Linked DNA regions of Xenopus tropicalis. The protein of the gene in region 2 purifies or fractionates together with the protein of the main gene of each other region. This does not show direct contact. Links are inferred from orthologs where the notes say so. Each region holds a gene or a part of one and is shown on either strand. Other genes may lie near its edges.

Region 1 (3,752 bases), on a different chromosome or scaffold from region 2:
CTGCAAAGGAGGAACTTCATTTGCTCTTAAAATCCAAACCCTTTAAGTGGCCATACACTTGCTGTTCTTCACTGGTATCCAGCTCACGTGGGGGAAGCCAAATGGCTGGATAGGTTACGATTGACTCTTCACGTGTATGGCCGCTTTTCTATTGCTTTACTTGTTCTGGCCAATAACCCTAGAGCTGGGCGGTATGACCAAAAATTTATATCACGGTATTTTTCAAAATTATATCGGTGTCACGGTATTTGACTGTATTTTTTTTTTCCATGCATGATTAGGTGTTAACCCCATTTCCTAATAAATTAGAGAATAATTACTGCAGTATTGAAAATCAGAGTCAGGCAAGCAAAGGATCGGCAACAGAAAGTCGTAAGATAAATCAGGCAGGCTTAGTTTCCCAGGCAAGGCCGCAGACAACATAGCACAGGAGGAGGCGTTTGATAGCTTTAAAGGAACAGTAACACCAAAAAATTAAAGTGTATAAAAGTAACTAAAATATAATGTGCTGCTGCCCTGCACTGGTAAAAGTTGTGTGTTTACTTCAGAAAGTCTACTATAATTTATATAAATAAGCTGCTATGTAGCCATGGGGGCAGCCATTCAAAGGAGAAAAGGCACAGGCACATAGTAGATAACAGATAAAACACTATTGTATTCTATAGAACTTATCTGTTATCTGCTATGTAACCTGTGCCTTTTCTCCTTTTTTCCAGCTTGAATGGCTGCCCCCGTGGCTACACAGCAGCTTATTATATAAATTATAGTAGTGTTACTGTAGCAAACACACCAGTTTTACCAGTGCAGGGCAACAGTGCATTATATTTTTATTACTTTAAAGCTCTTTCATTTTTTGGTGTTACTGTTCCTTTAAATACCCCCCCACGCATGCACAGAACCGGCGCCGTCAGCGTGTTGCGGACGTGCACGCTTTGACATGTACGTGCGCACCTGGACGCGCATGCGCAACGTCCCGCAGACAACGGGACGCGCGCACGCAAGGAGGCGCGCGAGACCGGGCCGCACGGGTGAGTACCCTGACACCCCGGTATTGCGGTATCTGAAAAATGAATATAATTTTTTTAAAAAAACCCACTGGTGTTCGGTATTAAACGGTATATCGCCCAGCCCTAAATAACCCCACTGACTGGAACTACCATGCCACCATGGTGCATCAGCACATAAAATGTTTAAATATTTCACATTACAAACACAAGGAGATTGACGGCAGTTTTGTCCAAATGAGCCAAACTGCTTAACCAAATCTGGGCATAAATGACCAGCTTAAACATGATAAGAGGAAACCACTGTATCTCTAAAATCCTAGGAAAATCAGCTCTGCTCTTGTTTACCCCACAAGTATACTGTTCTCCAGAGTGTGAAAAGCAGAGACAGTTTATAAGACTCAGCTACCACAACATTTTCTAGGTCCTTATACAGAATAAAAGGAAGGACGGAATTTGAAAGATCTAAGTGAACCATTATTTGGACCTACCCGTTTCAGATTTTTCTTCGTCCCCACACTCCTCTGCAACCGAGTCCCCTGGGTCTGTTTTTGAAGCTGCTCCATTTAGGGATTCGACCCCCATATCAGATTCCTCCTCTTCTACAACAGGAGGGGGTTCTATTTTCTCAGCCTGTGAGTCAGTCTCCTCTTCAAGTTGTTTCTTTACAGGTACAGCATCATTTTCCTGGGCTGCCACTGCTTCCACCTCATTTGGATTAAAATCTTCCTCCTCATCCTCCTGACCTTCATGTAGCATCTCCTCTTCATCCTCTTCGTCCCCTAGTTCCAGAGCCAGCTCTTCATCACCCCCAGCCATTTCCTGTATAAAAGCCCCTTTCTCTTCATCGCCCCCTAGGAGTTCAGAATCGAGAGCTTCCTGCAACCTCTCGCACAGCTCTGCTTTTAATCCACGGCTCTCCAGGCCTCTGCGTTGCAGCTCAGCCCGCAGCTCAGTCACTTTCATCCTCCGTGGATCCAGGCCGCTCATCCTCAGTTCTGATTAAGAAGACAGAGAAACAAAGCGGAAATTATCTACAGGAAGCGGAAAAGTGAGCCCTAACCGGAAGTAGATCAGGAAGAAACACTAAGGCGGAAGCTTGAGAGGATAAAAGAGAAAGATTTTTTTACAGTGAGTGGATCCCAGCTACCTGTTATGGTGCGAAAGGGAGGCCAATCAGGGACTCTTTTTTTTGTGCGCGCTTACGAGGTGATCCAATCGTCGAGCGGCCTCGCTTGCAGTAAAGATGACGTTCCCAGGTGGGCTGCGGCCAAAAAAATATATTAAACTTACGCAGCACGTCCAACTTGTTGCAGGACCTCGGTAAAGCGCTCGTTTTCCTCCCTGACACAAACTGGCCGCCACTGCAAAAGACACAACCGCTTACAGCGCTGAACCCCACCTGTGTGACGTGCGTCGCTCCGATTGGTCTACCCGGCAAGGTTTTGTTCCGCCTTAGTGACGTGGCAGGTCCTGGTTGGCTTTAATTGAGGGAAAGACCTGTCTCCCGCAGGCGCTGGTTATCATTTGCTCCAGTGGGCCGCTATCGCCTCTCTCCTAATTGGCTAGCCTGTGATGGCTGCTAAGTTACCCGCTGCTTCGCCCTTTTCATTCTAAAGAAAAATAAACAGTGACGTTTTGTGTTCTGATTGGCGAATTATGATAAGCACGTGGCTCCGTATTACTCGCAGAACTACAACTCCCAGAATCCAACGGGACTCCCAGGTTGTTAAATATGTCTGGGAGTTGTAGTTTAGTCACTCAGTGAGGTCGTGTATTGTCTTAGCTTTACAAAGAAATAGTGTTTCAGCGTATTAAAATGCTGTTTATAGTTTACATTTAGCAGTCGTTATTCAGTTTACAAATAGTAAATCGCGTTAGCATTTTTTTCTTTTCAGACATGCCGTCTTACGGGGAGGGGACGCATCGGCGCTTTCAATTATCTTAATGCTATACAATTACCGGATAATTACTTTAGTGTAATTTTTCTGTGCAAGTAACTTTGTGACCAGAAGTAATAATTGCTCGTCTTAAATTTGTCATATTATCATCAGTTTAGTCCTTGCAAACCATTTTGTTTTGCTAAATCGCGTATAAGTAAAGTTAGTTGCAGTGCGCGTCACGTGACACTGGCTACGGCGGCTTCATAGTTGTGGGCGGAGTCTGGAAGCAGGAAGTAACATGCAGCAGGGTGTGAATTATGGCTGAGCAGGTAGATTCTCGTTTCTTATGCCAAGAGACTTGTGTGCACAGCGTATATGTTTGCACACTGTTCATGTATTAATTATAATTGGTAGGGATTGCCCCAGATAGAGAGATTCTGTGGCTGATAAGTTCAGCTGCATTGCAACCAAGCACATGTTGTATGTTCACTAATCTTACGTAAGTCTATTGTAAAGGTTTACATTCTATTTAAAAGGGGAGCAGATATGAAGGCCTGGGTCAGTCTGTACTGATTTTTTTTATTTGATAGTCGTATATGTATTATAAAAATAAATAACATTATTAAGTTAACCAGAATGCCAGCATTCTCCTACAGCAGCAGGATACGTGTAGTTCAGCAAAGGCTGCAGGTTGGGGCACCAGGTTTCAATGCTGACACATTTCTGCATCATCTAGGATTTGTGTCTGTATGTGAGACCCCTTCCTATCAGTCTATCCCACATCCCACACTACATCGCACCTATGGGTCCCATTCTGTTATCCAAGTGGCTGAGCTGCAAGCTGAATGGACTGACACAATACAAA
Region 2 (3,752 bases):
AGGCAGAAGGTGGGGGTGCAGGGAGGCAGAATGTGGGGGTGCGGGTAGGCAGAAGGTGGGGGTGCAGGGAGGCAGAATGTGGGGGTGCAGGGAGGCAGAATGTGGGGGTGCAGGGAGGCAGAATGTGGGGGTGCAGGGAGGCAGAATGTGGGGGTGCAGGGAGGCAGAATGTGGGGGTGCGGGTAGGCAGAAGGTGGGGGTGCAGGGAGGCAGAATGTGGGGGTGCAGGGAGGCAGAATGTGGGGGTGCAGGGAGGCAGAATGTGGGGGTGCAGGGAGGCAGAATGTGGGGGTGCAGGGAGGCAGAATGTGGGGGTGCAGGGAGGCAGAATGTGGGGGTGCAGGGAGGCAGAATGTGGGGGTGCAGGGAGGCAGAAGGTGGGGGTGCAGGGAGGCAGAAGGTGGGGGTGCAGGGAGGCAGAAGATGGGGGTGCGGGTAGGCAGAAGGTGGGGGTGCAGGGGTGTCACATCTCGGGGAGTCGCTCAGACTGTCTCACCTGCACAAACACCACATTGTGTGGGAAGCCGTTCCCTTCTCCGCCTGTTGGGGGCAGTGATGGGGCAGCGATGGGCCCCCGAGTGGCGACCAGTCCGGCCGGAAAGCCACCGTCTCTCTTTGTCTCTCCCGACAGGTAATGGCGAATGTTCTGGCGCGCGGCGGTTATTAGGGACCTGTCAATGTCCAGTCCCACCACACGCGAGGGCCCCATGTTCTTGGCCACACACAGAGTCACGTGACCCACATTGCAGCCAATGTCCAACACTGCCTTCCCCCTAAACCATTCTGGCTTCAGCGCACGAAGGCGGGGGTCCTCCGATTGGCTGGGGTTCCGGTAACCATAGTAACGGCAATAGTTCCCATACTGGAATCTGGTTTTGCCCTTGGCCCGAGACTTGGGGCAGTGCGGCCGTAAGGCGGCCCCCTCGGCCAATAGGCTCTTACTCCTCTCCGGGCTCCCGTGTTTCCCTTCGGATTTGCTGGAAGTCCTTCTCCGTTTGCGGTGCCGAGAGGCAGATATGGCGGAAGCGCCGGCCGATGGCGCCGCCGGGTCACTCTCCAGCGCGGGCAGAGACACCACCTCGTCCCTGCAGTTAATCGCCGTGTTCAGTTCGTATGGCTGCGGCTCCTCGGGGGCGGGCTCTGCTTCCTGAGCCGGCCCCCCGGGAGCCTTTGAAGGTGCATCTGTCGGCGGGTGGTGGCGGTGCCGGTGCCGTTTCCTACTCTTTAGGGGGGACAGTAGGAGCTCCCCGGAACTGGCGTTGAGGCACAGCGGATCCGTAATGTCTTTAGGAATGAGAATCTCCACTGGATCCCGGTTCCGGGACGGAAGAGGCGACGACTTTGGGGTCTCGGCGTTGAGCGTGCGGTTCACGTCCTCGTCCAGCAGACTGTTCAGGTTGAGGGGGTCGAATATATTGCCCCCCAGCAGGAAGTTGGAGGGCAGGACCGGATCGCAGTCCGAGTTGACCCTCCGGCGCCGCTTGAACGGAACCGGGTGCTTGAAGCCAACGTTGAAGCTGTTCCTCCTCTTCCCCTGGAAGCCATTGCGGGGCCCCCGGGGGGCTGCTTGCTGCTCCGCCCCTTCCTTTGTGGCTTTGGGCTGCAGTTCTGCTTTGGGCGGGGGCGGGGCAGGGGGTGGAGCCAGGAAGGTGGTAGCCTCCCCCTCTGTACTTCCCGCTGCCCCTGGTAGCTGCAGATTTTCCGTGGTGGCCGCCATCTCTAGCAGAACCTGCATGGGGGCATCACCGGCGGAACCTGGGCGGGGGGCGACTCTCTCCGTAGCAACAACTCCCTGCGCCCTCACTGTTATACTATTGGGTGCTTATACCTCGGGGCTCCTGCAGGGGCCGGGTGACTGGGGGAACCCCAACTCCATACTGACCCCCAACTGGAAGCACACACCCCCAGGCAGCCAGGACACGCCCCTTTTCCAGTTGCTCCTCCTCCTCGCCTGCAGAAGCGCCCAGTCAGAGGCGGAGCCTAGAGGGAGAGAAGAGAGAGATGAGGGGGTGCAGGGGGAGACATAGGGGAGCCCACCCCGCCCGCACCCCTCACTCTGCAACGAAATTCTACCGTATGTTACAATTGCCCCCCAGCCGGGTGTTTCATGGCCCTACCTGAGCAGCACGGCCCCAATTCCCCGGGACACTCTCCGCACCGCCGGCTCCCTGCCTCCCACTCCCGCACCGCCGAGCGACGTCTGACTCCCTCACTCCTGCCGGACAACTAATCCAGTCGCCCAAGTCTCATCTCGCGAGAGTGCGCCTCACACTGCGTGTACATGAACGGGATGACGTCGCACGTTGCCACCTGGGGGGCGGGGCCGGCTGAGCTACGATAGTGTCGCGAAATGCAGTATTCACGACAGTTACCGGCAGTAGCCGCCGTAGTTACCAAGTGTAGTATTCGGCATGATTCCCAGCTATACCATAGTTATCTGTATAAGCTATACCAGCATAACCCGCCATAGTTACCCCAGCAATACTAGTATCTGCCATAATTACAAATATCCGCCATATTTATCAGGTTAGTCACGGTTAGTCAGGGTTGGCGGGGTTTCCGCCACATTGGGCTACTAATTTAGAGCCCTGACGGGTTTCCAGAGTACAAACCCACCAAGGTACAGATTTGGGCTATTTTTTTGAAGCGTTGGCGGGTTTGTAGTTTGGAAACAAGCCAAAGTTTGTTCCACTGCATGCTGGGTAATGTAGTTTGTATCTAACAAATAGCCTGCAGCTAGGATTAATATAAAACTACAATACCCAGCATGCAATGGGACAGTATAGCCAGAGGCTCTGTTTTCTATTCCTTTTTGCTCTTTCAGGCTCAACCTGTATGTTCTGCTCCCTACTCTATAGGGTATGAGATAGTGATTATTCGCTTTAAACAGGCAGGTTTTCCCATATATACTTTTATTTTTAGATTTTTTTTCATTGCACATTGGGCTATTTTTGGGCTACTTTCAAAGAGGCTTCTGGCTAGTTTTGGGCTGGTTTTAGAACTGACAGGCTGGTTTGGAAAAATAAATCTATATGGCTATACCCCGCCATAGTGACAAGTATCTGCATTATATACCGGCATATCCCACCATAGTTACCACAGCAATATTAGTATCTGCCATAATAACAAATATCAGCAACAGCCTTCACAGTTAGTAGAGATACCCACCATGTACCTGCTATAGTTCCCCTGATTACCAGCAATATCCACCAGTTAATTGCCGCAATGGTTATCAGTGATACCTGCCTTAGTTACCAGAGAGATCCGCCACACTTACCAGAAATGCCGATGGTTGCCCCCTTTTCTGAGAAAAAATCAAGGCTTTCCGCTATTTATTTTTCCTATTAATAACACTGGCATCAGGCATCATACTGGCCAGGTGGCACCCCTAGAAGTACCCACCCACTATACCTGCCAGCAATACCGGCCTCAGCACCAACGATACCCACAGCCCTGTACTGGCATTCCCAGTACCCAGAGGCACAAACAGCCCCCCCCAGCCCAATAAATAGTGACTGTCTGTGGCACCTTACAGCCCCCCTGGCATTCCCAGTACCCAGAGGCACAAACAGCCCCCCCAGCCCAATAAATAGTGACTGTCTGTGGCACCTTACAGCCCCCCTGGCATTCCCAGTACCCAGAGGCACAAACAGCCCCCCCCCCCAGCCCAATAAATAGTGACTGTCTGTGGCACCTTACAGCCCCCCTGGCATTCCCAGTACCCAGAGGCACAAACAGCCCCCCAGCCCAAT

Evidence for each region.
Region 1: the proteins of mepce (region 2) and hnrnpul2 purify together in Homo sapiens (affinity purification with mass spectrometry; 3 studies listed by BioGRID and IntAct, with this or other methods). This does not show direct contact. The link is inferred for Xenopus tropicalis from reciprocal best matches to the Homo sapiens genes MEPCE and HNRNPUL2.

Annotation. Positions count from the first base shown.
Region 1 is NC_030680.2:34,629,886-34,633,637, reverse strand, and holds the start of hnrnpul2 (heterogeneous nuclear ribonucleoprotein U-like protein 2), read right to left. Parts: upstream 2,497-3,752; 5' UTR 2,407-2,496; exon of another isoform or gene 2,155-2,406; intron 2,136-2,154; exon of another isoform or gene 2,003-2,135; 5' UTR 1,995-2,002; coding exon 1,496-1,994; intron 1-1,495. Other genes in the region: ttc9c (tetratricopeptide repeat protein 9C), read left to right, coding at 2,664-2,729.
Region 2 is NC_030679.2:152,333,456-152,337,207, reverse strand, and holds the start of mepce (7SK snRNA methylphosphate capping enzyme), read right to left. Parts: upstream 2,265-3,752; 5' UTR 2,118-2,264; intron 1,981-2,117; 5' UTR 1,736-1,980; coding exon 497-1,735; intron 1-496. UniProt on the Homo sapiens protein: S-adenosyl-L-methionine-dependent methyltransferase that adds a methylphosphate cap at the 5'-end of 7SK snRNA (7SK RNA), leading to stabilize it.